Linked DNA regions of Mus musculus. The main gene of each other region encodes a partner of the protein of the gene in region 2 in a complex. Links are inferred from orthologs where the notes say so. Each region holds a gene or a part of one and is shown on either strand. Other genes may lie near its edges.

Evidence for each region. The genes of interacting proteins can lie anywhere in the genome.
Region 1: Ralgapa1 (region 2) and Ralgapb share a complex: the UniProt entries of both Homo sapiens proteins name them as parts of the heterodimeric RalGAP1 complex. The link is inferred for Mus musculus from reciprocal best matches to the Homo sapiens genes RALGAPA1 and RALGAPB.

What each region holds. Positions count from the first base shown.
Region 1 is NC_000068.7:158,407,657-158,413,337, forward strand, and holds the start of Ralgapb (ral GTPase-activating protein subunit beta), read left to right. Parts: upstream 1-2,196; 5' UTR 2,197-2,447; exon of another isoform or gene 2,448-2,790; intron 2,791-5,681. UniProt on the Homo sapiens protein: Non-catalytic subunit of the heterodimeric RalGAP1 and RalGAP2 complexes which act as GTPase activators for the Ras-like small GTPases RALA and RALB.
Region 2 is NC_000078.6:55,817,255-55,823,086, reverse strand, and holds the start of Ralgapa1 (ral GTPase-activating protein subunit alpha-1), read left to right. Parts: upstream 1-1,919; 5' UTR 1,920-2,319; coding exon 2,320-2,425; intron 2,426-5,832. UniProt on the Homo sapiens protein: Catalytic subunit of the heterodimeric RalGAP1 complex which acts as a GTPase activator for the Ras-like small GTPases RALA and RALB.

The DNA of each region.
Region 1 (5,681 bases), on a different chromosome or scaffold from region 2:
GCTGAGGTACAGATATATGTGAAAACTTCTGGGGCTGGAGAGATGGCTCAGGGGTTAAGAGCACTAACTGCTCTTCCAGAGGTCTGGAGTTCAATTCCCAGCAACCACATGGTGGCTCACAACCATCTGTAATGGGGTCTGATGGCCTCTTCTGGTATGTCTGAAGAGTGCAATGGTGTACTCATAGATATAAAATAAATAAATAAATAAATTTCTAAAAAAATGTAAAAAAAAAAACCAAACCAAACCCAAACCAAAAACTTCCTAGCTGGGTAGTTAGGAGTTTTAAAACTTCTATTTGTTCTACTTCTATTCTCTTTTACAACAGTTCATTTTTGTGTATGAAATAAAAATGATAAGAGAGCCTCGAGTTGGAACTGAGCACAACTTCTTTCCCTCATTTAAAGGAATGGAAACCTCTCTCCCCTGTAGCTTCCCTACAAAAAAACTAAAGAACTAAGTCTGCCATGAATTAAACTCTCAAGGTGGAGGGACTAGAGGTATTTTCATTTTTCCAAGTCCTTTTTTTTTTTTTTTATTTTGAGACATGGCCTTATGTAGCCCAAGCTGGCCCAAAGCACTCTGTGTAACAAGTTCAAGGATGAATATGCTACTACATATGGTTTGTGTAGTACTGGGAATCAAACCCAGGACCTCAAACACACCAGGCAAATACTCCACCAACTAAGCTATGTCTGCAGTTCCATGTGCTTTAAAAAGATTCCCAGTCCTCCGTGTCTGTCACTTTTCCAATTCCCATCACCCACTCCTCTTCAACCCTATCAGTCTGATCTTCCATAGATGTTCAATATTCGGTGTTAGGAATGTGGTCGCAAGTAACAGAAAACTCAATGGATTGTGGTATAAATAAGGCCCACCACCCTCTTTAAAGCAGGAAAGGAGTACAGAGTCCATGCAGTTTCCTTGGTGTGTCCTAAAGAGGCAGGTTTCTTTGCCTTGTTTTACATTTATAGTAGAGTCTTCTGCAAGATCTCAGAATGACTGCCACATCTCCTGGCATTGTATTATACCATGGTTCCAATCATGAAGTTGGGGAAAGTTGAAGGACACAAAATTTCTCAGGACTTCCTTTATATCCTAAGTCTCCCTTGGAACTTTGGTTTATGCTTTATGGACTAGAACTTTGTTTCACTGGTATGCTGTCAAGCAGGGGAGGGGGCTTTGCTTTTTGGCCTCTGTAGTGTAGAAGTGGGAAGGAGAGAGGGGCTTGGAATAGTGACCATGTGATAAAGCACTTATCAAAAACTGTCTAATTGAACTTTACTGCTTCATCCACACACTGTCCTGGCACATTGTTACCCACCCCTTCCCCTCTTCCTGTAGGTGAGGTTGTGGTCTTAAAGAATCCTTGTTTTATCTCTTCTACGAGGGCACTAGTTTCTTCTTCACTCCTACTTGGTTCATGGTCTCTTCTGAGGATGACAGTCACCGTTTTCTCTGCTTTCCATACAAATGTGTTTTTTGCACAGCCTAACACCCTGATCCCTCCACCTCTGAGTTCCAAGGTCAGTCACAAGGCCAGGCTCTCTATGAAGCTGTCTCCATCCCTCTTTCCTCTCAGCCTGACACGTGGGGAGTACGTCTAAAATGTTGTTACTTTCCTCGTGGAAGTTGAAACGAAATTCTTGACAGTGGTACTGTTTGCAAAACGTCCGGTGCATGGCAGGTGCTCGAACTTGTATCTCTTGTTAGTAATAGCTTATCTCCCCGATCAGATACAACTCGTTGGTGACAGGTTCTGAATCATCCTTTTAAAGCACGTCAGGCCTGGCGAGGACATTGCCCATAATAATGCTGCGCCCATGTAATAAGGGGCTGGGCAAAGGAAGAGCTACAATGCTGAGATGTGAGACATTCCTTTAGCCTGAATGGTAGCCAACTTTTCATAGAGAAGCCCCTTACTCTTCTGCACTAAGAACATGTAGAAGCCAGATTGCTTCTGGAGCTGGCACCGCGATGACGTAAGTGTCCGTCACTTTACTCCTCCCACTCCACCGAAGCCCGAAAGGGGGCGGTGTGGGCAATCGCGCTTCGCGCGGCCCTCTGGGACGGCTGCGCACGCGCAGCTTCCGGCTCCAGGCTCGGAGACTTATTTGACGCTGCCCACTCGGTCCCTTCAGAAGTCGCGGGTCAGCAGCGCCGCGCAGGCGCAGTAGTCCCTTCGGCTGGGGAATTATTTGACGCCACCGCCCCTGGCAGTCGGAAGTTGCTTGAACGGAGCCCAGCCGGCCGGCCAAGCGACCGGTGTTCGTCGTCCCCTGGGCGCCCTGGGAGAGTCACTGACGGGTGGACGGACTGACTGCCGGTGGAGGGCCGGCCGGGGCAGTGGCAGCGCGGGCCGGATGGCGCGGGTCGCGTGAGGCGGCAGGCCGAGTGCGGCCCGCGGTGCGCCCGCCCAGCGATGCGGGCCCCGCCCGTCGCCTCAGGTACGCGGCGGCCGGCGCGGTGCGGCCGGACCCTCCCCTCTCGCCGTGCTTTTTTTTTTTTTTTTCCCTCTCCTCAGCAGCTACTGAGGCAGGGGCTCTTTGAACCTCCGCTGCTCCCGGGGCCGAGCGTCGGCGGGCGCATTCCTGGGTTCTGAAGTGGCCGCACCGGGCGCGGGAGCACAGTCCTGGCCCGCGGATTCTGCCGGGTGTGAGCGAACCCGGGAGGGTCGGACTGGCGGAGCGCCCCCCTGGCAGCCTGGGGACAGGGGCGGGTCTGGAGTGGCAGCGGCAACTCCGGGGAGGATGCGGTCCACCGAGGGGCAGGTGGAGTTGCTGCCGTCCGGTGAGGATGCTACTGCCCAGGGCACGGTGACGCTTGCGAGGAGAGTAAACAGCCACCCTCCGCAAATGCTTGCTTTCCGCCAGGCCCAGGCCAGATAGGGAATTTGAGCACCCTGCACGGCAGGACTGTTACCCCATTCTACGGACCAGGCAACCGAGGCCCAGAGCGATCGGGCGCCTTTGGTGCCCAAGGTCATAGAGCTGGGTAATTTGAACTCAAGCAGCCTTGACAGTCCGATCCAGGTTCTTAACCAATTAGGTCATTGGATGTCCAACTTTGATGCACGGTAAAAATCACTTGGGGAGTTTTGAAAAGATTCCTGGTGCCATAGCACCTCAAACTAATTAAACCACCATGTCTAGAGGGTAGGGGGAGACAAATACTAGTATCTTTCTAGTATTTGTCTTTCCGGAGATCCCCTAGTGGTTCTGGGCTATAGTGAGGTTTGACAAGTGTGAAAGCATGTAATCTCAGAGGTCTGACAGTGCCTCTCCAGTTTATGTGTGCAGGAGGATGCTTGTTAAGATCGTGGATTCCACTGGCAGAAATTCATATTGTCACTCCCTTCCCCCCAGCGCGCCCTTGTTCTATTGCTGGAACTCTCCATTTCTCTGCCTCAGCCTCCTGAGTGCTAGGATGGTAGCTGTTCACTAAGAGAGAACTTTTCCTTAGATCCACAGACTACCACCCCTTTGGTAGGTAGGCCTCCTTGAGGGTGAGACCCAATTATGGATTCTTAGCAGAGCTTTTAAAAAAAATGTATACATTCCTTGCAAAAACTGTTGGTTTACAATTTCCCATAATATACGGCACTCATGGTTATGGTTTCTCTAGCCTCTGGACTTTTGCATACACTGTTCTTTCTACAAGACAGGCCTCCGTGTTTTCTCAGCACCCTACCCGAACACATACACCTTCTCATATGCATCAATTCTGTCTATTGCCCAGCTCTCAACAGTCCCTTCAAGATCCTCTGCCTCCCCTGAGCCCTGCCCATCTTGGCATTATTGTAGAGTAGCTGACCACATGTTTTTCTGTGTTGTACTCCTAAGCTCTTCTGTAAGGTTTTGATGGCAGGGACCATGCTTTTCTTGGTGTCTGTCTGTCTGTCTGTCTGTCTCTCCCTCTTGGAGTACTTTGACATCGAGGCCGACAAACATTTTTTGAATATAGTGTTTAGTCCCTTTATGTCATAGACCTCATGCCGCAGAGGCATCTGTTTTCTTTTTTTATAAAAGATATTTGCTGTTCTTAACATTAGGGTTTTTTTTTCCTTTTTCCTTAGGAATACTCTAGTTAAGTTTATTCATTTATTCAGCAGATGAATAAAATGTTGAATTCTTATCCATGACAAGGCACGATGTAAGACCATGTTCCAGCAACATTGGTTGGTTTAGCTGCGTGAGGTGGCACACGCCTTTAATCCCTGCACTCAGGAGGAAGAAGCAGGTGTATCTCTTTAAGGCCAGCCTGCTCTGCACAGTGAGTTAGTGACAGGATAGCCAGGGCTCCATACAGAGGCCTGCCTCAAACCTCCACCCAACCAATCAACACACAAAAACAAACAAAACAAGAACATTGGTGAATTTTATTGTTAACTTCCATGTAGACAGTCTATTCTATAGTGAGAGACTTTTTATTGCCATTGGGGTTTTGCATGTGGCCTTTCCTCATTGTCTAAAAGAAGTGTTGTCTAGATGCTATTGCCTTGTATGTATCAACGCACGCAGTTATAGTTCATCCCATCTGATGGGAGACAGTCAGCTCTGTATCAGAGCAACAATACAGACTCGGTGTAGTTTATTACATAATGTCTGAACTGCCATTGCTGCACATGCTTACCAGTTTTAAAGGAAGTCAGTGCAATAATTCTCATTGCTTCTGTTTTTAGTACCGCCCCCTTTTTTGGTAAAATTTATTTTTATGTTTATGGGCATTTTGATTGCATGCATGTATGTGCACTACTTGGATGTCTGGTGCTTGCAGAGGCCAGAGGAAGGTGTCAGGTCCTCTGGAACTGAAGTTACAGAGGGTTGTGTTCAGGTTCCATGCAGTTGCTGGAACTTGAACGTGGGTGCTCGGCCAGAGCAGCCAGTAAGTGCTCTTAACCACTGAGTCAATTCTCTAGTTCTTTGTTCTTGGTTATTCTTAAAGCCGTATGAGATTAAGTAGATTAAATATTATAAGGTCATTATGAAGAAGTTTGTTTACAATGAAGAGTCCCCCTACCCCTATCTTTTTATATTGGTATTGGGGGTTGAGTACAGACCTTCTATGCAAGTGCTGTACCACTGTGTTTTGATTCCCATTTTATTTTATATGTGTGTGTGTATACATTTTTTTAAATTCAATTTTATTATTTTTTCTGAATACTGTTTTACTATGTAGCCCTGGCTAATCTAGAAATGGCTATGTAGACCATGATGTTCTTGAACCCATGGAGGTTTGTTGTCTCTACCTCCTGAGAGATTAAAGGCATGTGCCACCATACCTAGCTATAATTTTTTATTTTGAAACAAGGTCATACCAAGCTATCTGGGTTGACCTTGAACTTAGTCTGTAGCTTAAGCAGGCCTTGAATTTAGGGTCCTTCTGGCTCAGCTTCCTAAGTAGCTGGGATTGCAGGCCTATACCAGCATGCCTAGATGGGATATTTCTCCCCAGTTAAATGTGATGTGTATAGATTGGATAAAAATACATATTTCATAAAGTAATTTTAACAGTATAGTATTGTTAGGGGAAGGTTCTCTTGTCTCTTATATACGGTTTGCTTGGTGTTTAGGCTGAGGCTAATAGAGAAAGTGATGGGATGAAAGGTGTTAAATTTAGCCTCTCAAGAAACTTGGCCTTGTTCTCTTATCAGATACAGACAGAGTTTCCAGTTCTAGTCT
Region 2 (5,832 bases):
GTTGGAGGAGCTGAGAGTTCTACATCTTGATCCAAAGGCAGCCAGGGGACTGGGTTCCACACTGGGCAGAGCTTGAGCATATGAGACCTCAAAACCCACCTCCACAACAACACAAGTCCTCCAACAAGGCCACACCCACTTCAGCAAGGCCACACCCACTTCAACAAGGCTACATCTCCTAATGGGCCAAGCATTCAAACACATGAATCTATGGGGACCATACCTATTCAAACCTCCGCAAGATTATGTAAACATTTTAAAGTATCCTGCTATTTTTCAGAAGCCTCCTACTAATTACTGCTATTCTTAATAGGCCGTGGGAGTTCCTACTGTTGCACTCACTGGTGAATTACTATTTGAAGACAAAGGCTACTGATAAAACAACACATCACTGTTTTTATGTACATTTCATGTATTCTGTAGATTTGATGTAAAATTCTAAAAGAAGGGAGCTGTAGAGATGGCTCACTAGTTAGGGGAGTATATGCTCTTGCAGACAACCCAAGTTTGATTTGCAGTACTGAGGCTGGGTGGCTCACAACTGCCTATAAGTACAGCCTCAAAAGGCATGTTTGTGTAGATGCTTGTGTGCATGCACGCACGCGCGCACACACACACATTCACACACACTCACAGATTCAAAATAAAAATCAATCAGCTCAGCAGTTAAGAGGACCTAGGTTCAATTCCCAGCACCTCCATGGCAACTTGCAGCTGTCTGTAACCCTAGTTCCAGGGGATCTGATACCATCTCACAGACATATATGTAGGCAGAACACCAAAATAAACAAACAAACAAGCTGGACAGTGGTGGCACACACTTTAATCTCAGAACTCTGGAGGCAGAGGCATGTGGATCTCTGTGAGTTCTAGGCCACCTTGATCTACAGAGTGAGTTCACAGCCAGGGCTACACAGAAAAACCCTGCCTTGGAAAACCAAAACGAAAAAAGCAAATGAATAAACAAACAAATAAAATAAATTATTTAAAGTCTCTAAAGAAAAATACAAACAAAATTGTCTAACAAATATTAATTCAGAGTGACGGAAGATAGATCAGCAGGGGACTGGGCACTAGGGACAGGCAAAGACAAAAAGCCAGAGTTTGTGATTACTACTTGTGTTTTGTAGTTTTTTGTTTTGTTTTGTTTTGTTTTGAGACATGGTCTAACGTAGCTGCCATTGACCTTGAATTATGTCTTCCCAAATCCTAGTATGACAGCAGAGCACTACCACACTTAGTTAATTGTTTTACTTGGATCTTACACAGCGTTCTTTGGATTTAGGTGAGTATTTCACATCTAAAGACAGCCTTCCTTTAAAATCATCCAGATTTCTTAATTTTTTTTCTCTGATATATGGTAGGATGCATTTACTTGTACAAGATATTTTATTTATTTATGTCTGTTTTCTTGGTGCTGGAGATCTGGTGCTAGAGCGAACTGCAGCTCTAGCCATGTGCATGTTAATTTAAAGGAAAAGGATGCAACACTCCCACGCATCTCTAAAGTACAGTACATTTTTAATCATTATTTTGCAAGACGCAGGAAGAATCCAAATTAGAAAGTGAACGGTTTGCAAAACACAGGAAATATCCAAATTAGAAAGTGAAATGACGTCAGAGCCAAGGCTTCAGAGCTAGTATCAAGCTGGCCTTGCACATCTGTTCTGATGTTTAAGTTACTCAGAGCGGTTTAAAGAGTGGAGATGAACGACTTTTTCAACAAAAACTCTAGGAACCGCTGTTTACAAGGAGCACACAGTAGACAACACCTTCCTTAACTTTCTTGCCCTTCTTCATTACTACAGACACAGGAAACCAAGAGGCTATAGAGGCAGGAATGAGCTCACGCTGACATGACGTCACGAGCACTTGACGTCAGAAGGCGGTTGCCACGGGGACCGTTCGCCACCGACGGCAGAGTCGTGAAACTCCATCACCACACGACTCGGTTTTGGCCTCCGCGGGGTTGAAGCTGCTAGAGACGCTTCAACCTTAAGGGGGCCTCAGGGAGAGAGGAGTGGCGCCGCGGCGGAGCGCTCCCTCTCCGCGGCTGTGGGGATTCCTGCCGCGGCCTGGGCGGCGGCGGCCGCTCCGCGTCTCCTCGTCGCTGCAGCGCGCGGGGCGGATCCGCCATATTGGAGCCGGGGCTGCAGGTTCCGTGCGGCGGCGGCGGCGAGAGGCGGGCCTGGCAGCGGGGCCCGCGCGGCAGCGGCGGACGCGGGGGAACGCATGAGCCGCCGCGGCTAGCCTCTTCCCCGCCCACCGCCTGCGCTGGGTCGTCGGGACCCGGCCGGGAGGGGCCGCGGCGGCCGCAGGATGTTCTCTAAGAAGCCGCACGGGGACGTGAAGAAGTCCACCCAGAAGGTGCTGGACACCAAGAAGGACGCGCTGACCCGCCTCAAGCACCTGCGCATCGTCATCGGTGAGGGGAGCCGCGACCCCGGGGCGCCGCCGCGGCGGCCTTGCTGCCCCCGGCCTGTCACCCCGCGAGCTCCGGGCTTCGCCCTCGCGACCTGGCGCGGTCGGGAGTGAGGGCCGGCGGCGCCTCTGCCCACGCGCGGGCGGGCGGCGAGGGAAGGGGACAGCTTGGCAGTTGGTACAAATCAGTCAGCACCAGCACGGAGAGACCCACGTTGGAGTTCCTGGTCTGATTGTTTAAAAAAAAAAAAATGACAGTCAGGCCAGAAACTTAAGTCCTTGATGAGACTTCAGGGACACTTGGCGTTGTGGGTAATGGTGTTTAGAGGGTGTGCTTGCCATCTGACTACTGCCATCCCCACCCGAGTGCAAAGCAAAGCAAAGCAAAGCGCTGGCTCGGCCAGTGGAACCCGTAGTCTTTCAAGTTTTTTTGGCAGGTGAGGGCCCTGGAGGAAGCAGTTGCACCTCTTTGGGAAGTGGGTGGTTCCTGAAGCTTGGGGAAAGAACCCCGCCCTATACACCCTGTTCTTCATTTGCTGTCCTTTAGGAAGAAAACTAATTATAGAGAAGAAGGTTCTCGTGAACGATACAGAATTAAGTTTTCATTAAAAATTTCTTACTCTCTGCCGTCTCATCAACTTTAGTGTCTCTGAAGACCGAAGCAAGCTAGATTTGGGATAAAGTGTTAAGCGAGGATTTTTGGATACTTGGTCATAGACAACTTGGATTTTTTTTTTTTTTTAAATGAAGAAATTTTGAGGTAAAAAGGAAAGTTGACCAGGGCTTAGACATATAGAATGACAATAGGATAGCTGAGGTTAGATCTCAGATGTCTGAATTCTAATTCAGAGTTTATCATCTCAAGCTGTCCTCCTAATTTCTGTCTGTTTTGGAAAGTGACTTATATGTTTAGTGGTGTGTCCTCTGTTTCATGGATGGATTTCTCTACTGTGTTGTGACTAATACCACCAATGATACCCAACATTTGTGTGGTGTTTTGCTGTCTACAAAGGGTCTCACATGAATTAGTATAATCCAACATGACCATCTGTCTAGAAATAGAGATATTATTTGCCATTTTAAAAAATATATAAACAAAAAAGTTGAAGATGGATGGAGCTGGTGGAGACTAACGACCACAACGAAGCCTAGATTTTCTGTCTCTGATTTGTTTTTCAGCCTTCCTACATGTCTGACAGCTAGTCTTAGTTATCACAAGTACTTATACCTGTGGTATAGTGAGAAAGCAATTAAATCCATCTTATGTAAACCATTTAAATATGGTAGAGGTTTTTAACATTTCCATTTTGGAGTTAAGTCATTGAAGATTTGCGTGAAAAGATATGCTGAGACACGCAAAGTCATCGGCACGTAAATGTATTACAAAATAACGGCCGTTTGAAAGTGGACACTTGGTGCAATCTGACTCTCACTTGAGACAAGCTGTAGATTGCATAAATGCAGTTGTAACTATAAAGCTGAGTTACAGCAGGGTATTGAGAGTTCCTAAATTACCTGCCACAGCATAGAGGGTTTTGTGGTTGTGTGTATGTGTGTAGTGTGTGCATGTGTGTTTCCTAACTTGGGAAACATCAGATGTATTACTACCACACATGTTGGATATTTTGTAGGACCTGGCTTCCTCAGTTCGAAAATGGAATACTTAAGAAAGCAAAAAAACCTTTTGCTTTCATAATTTAAGGAGTCTTTTAAGAATGAAATCACCAGGAATGTCTTACCTTTCACAACTTTCTTATGTACCTGTGCCCTGTGAGAAGCCCACACTCAAGTGTAGAACCACAGTGCTTAACCAAACACATTGTGCCAAAAGCAGTTATCATGTCTGGAAACACTTTTTCTGTGGAGAGTTGCTACTACATATAAGTATGCTAAATGCTGCTAAACAGAAAAGTCCCTCACAACAGTACCCATGCCCTACATATCAGAATAGCATATTCTGAGGCCTTGTCATAATGCATACTAAAAGATGAACTCCCAAATGCTAGGGTTAGTTTTAAGTTCTCTCCCTCTCTGCCTCAGGGCTAGGAATTGACCTGGGGACTCAAGTGTGCTAGCAGGCCTGCACTTTGCTGCTGAGCAACATTTTGGCTTCAATATTTAATGGTTACAGTTATTTCATTTAAAATAAGATGCCTGGCAGTGGTGGCGCACACCTTTGATCCCAGCACTTGGGAGGCAGAGGTAGAGGCAGGCAAATTTCTGAGTTTGAGGCCAGCCTGGTCTATGGAGTGAGTTCCAGGACAGCCAGGACTGCACAGAGAAACCCTGTCTCAAAAAACCAAAAAAAAAAAAAAAAAAAAAAAAAAAAAAAGGAAAGAAAGAAAGAAAGAAGATGAGTGGGAGAAAGATAAAGTTGAACTCCCTTAGAGGCTTGCTCACTGGTTCCTATTTTGTAGTTGAAAGAGTCATTTTAAATCCCTTTTGGAAATAAATAGGGTTTTAAGGAAATACAATGAAGAAACTACTTAGTCTGCTAATAACACAGAATCATATTGGACCAAACAAAAGTACTGTGCACTAGGGGTAATTATAGAAGTCAGTACATGCATAAAATAGTGACTCCCTTAGAAAAAGTATGTCCAGACATGATCGACATGTCTCCTGTAGGCATCACTGATCTACAGCTGCTTTAGTGTGGTCTTCTATATAGGTCCTTACTCACTGGGTAGAGGTCTGAAGGAATATCCAACATTTGAAAGATGGCTTCTTCAGTGCTTTTCATTTAAAGAAATGTATATTTTTATTTTTCATGTTAGTATGTATGCCTGTGCATTACATATGTGCTTTGGTACTCACAGAAGCCAGAAGAGAGTGTTTGATCCCCTAGAACTGGAGATGCAGATAGTTGTAAGCTACCATATGGGTGCTGGGACTTAAATCTCTAGGTTCTCTGGAAAGTGGCCAGTGTTCGTTCGTTCTTTCTTCTCTCTCTCTTTTAAGATTTATTTACTTATTATATGTACACTGTGGCTGTCTTCAGACACACCAGAAGGGGGCATCAGATCTCATTACAGATGGTTGTGAGCCATCATGTGATTGCTGGGATTTGAACTCAGGACCTCTGGAAGAGCAGTCAGTGCTCTTAACTGCTGAGCCATTTCGCCAGCCCACAGCCAGTGTTCTTAACCATTGAGCTCTCTCTCTTTTGCCTGCCTGCCTGCCTGCCTGCCTGCCTGCCTTCCTTCCTTCCTGTCTTAAGTCCTTACATTATTAAAATAGCAAATCAAGGGGTGTGTGTCTTCTTTCGCTTAAAAATTATTATATAAAAACTTAAAACTTGCTGGGCGTGGTGGCACATGCCTTTAATCCCAGCACTGGGGAGGCAGAGGCAGGCAGATTTCTGAGTTTGAGGCCAGCCTGGTCTACAAAGTGAGTTCCAGGACAGCCATG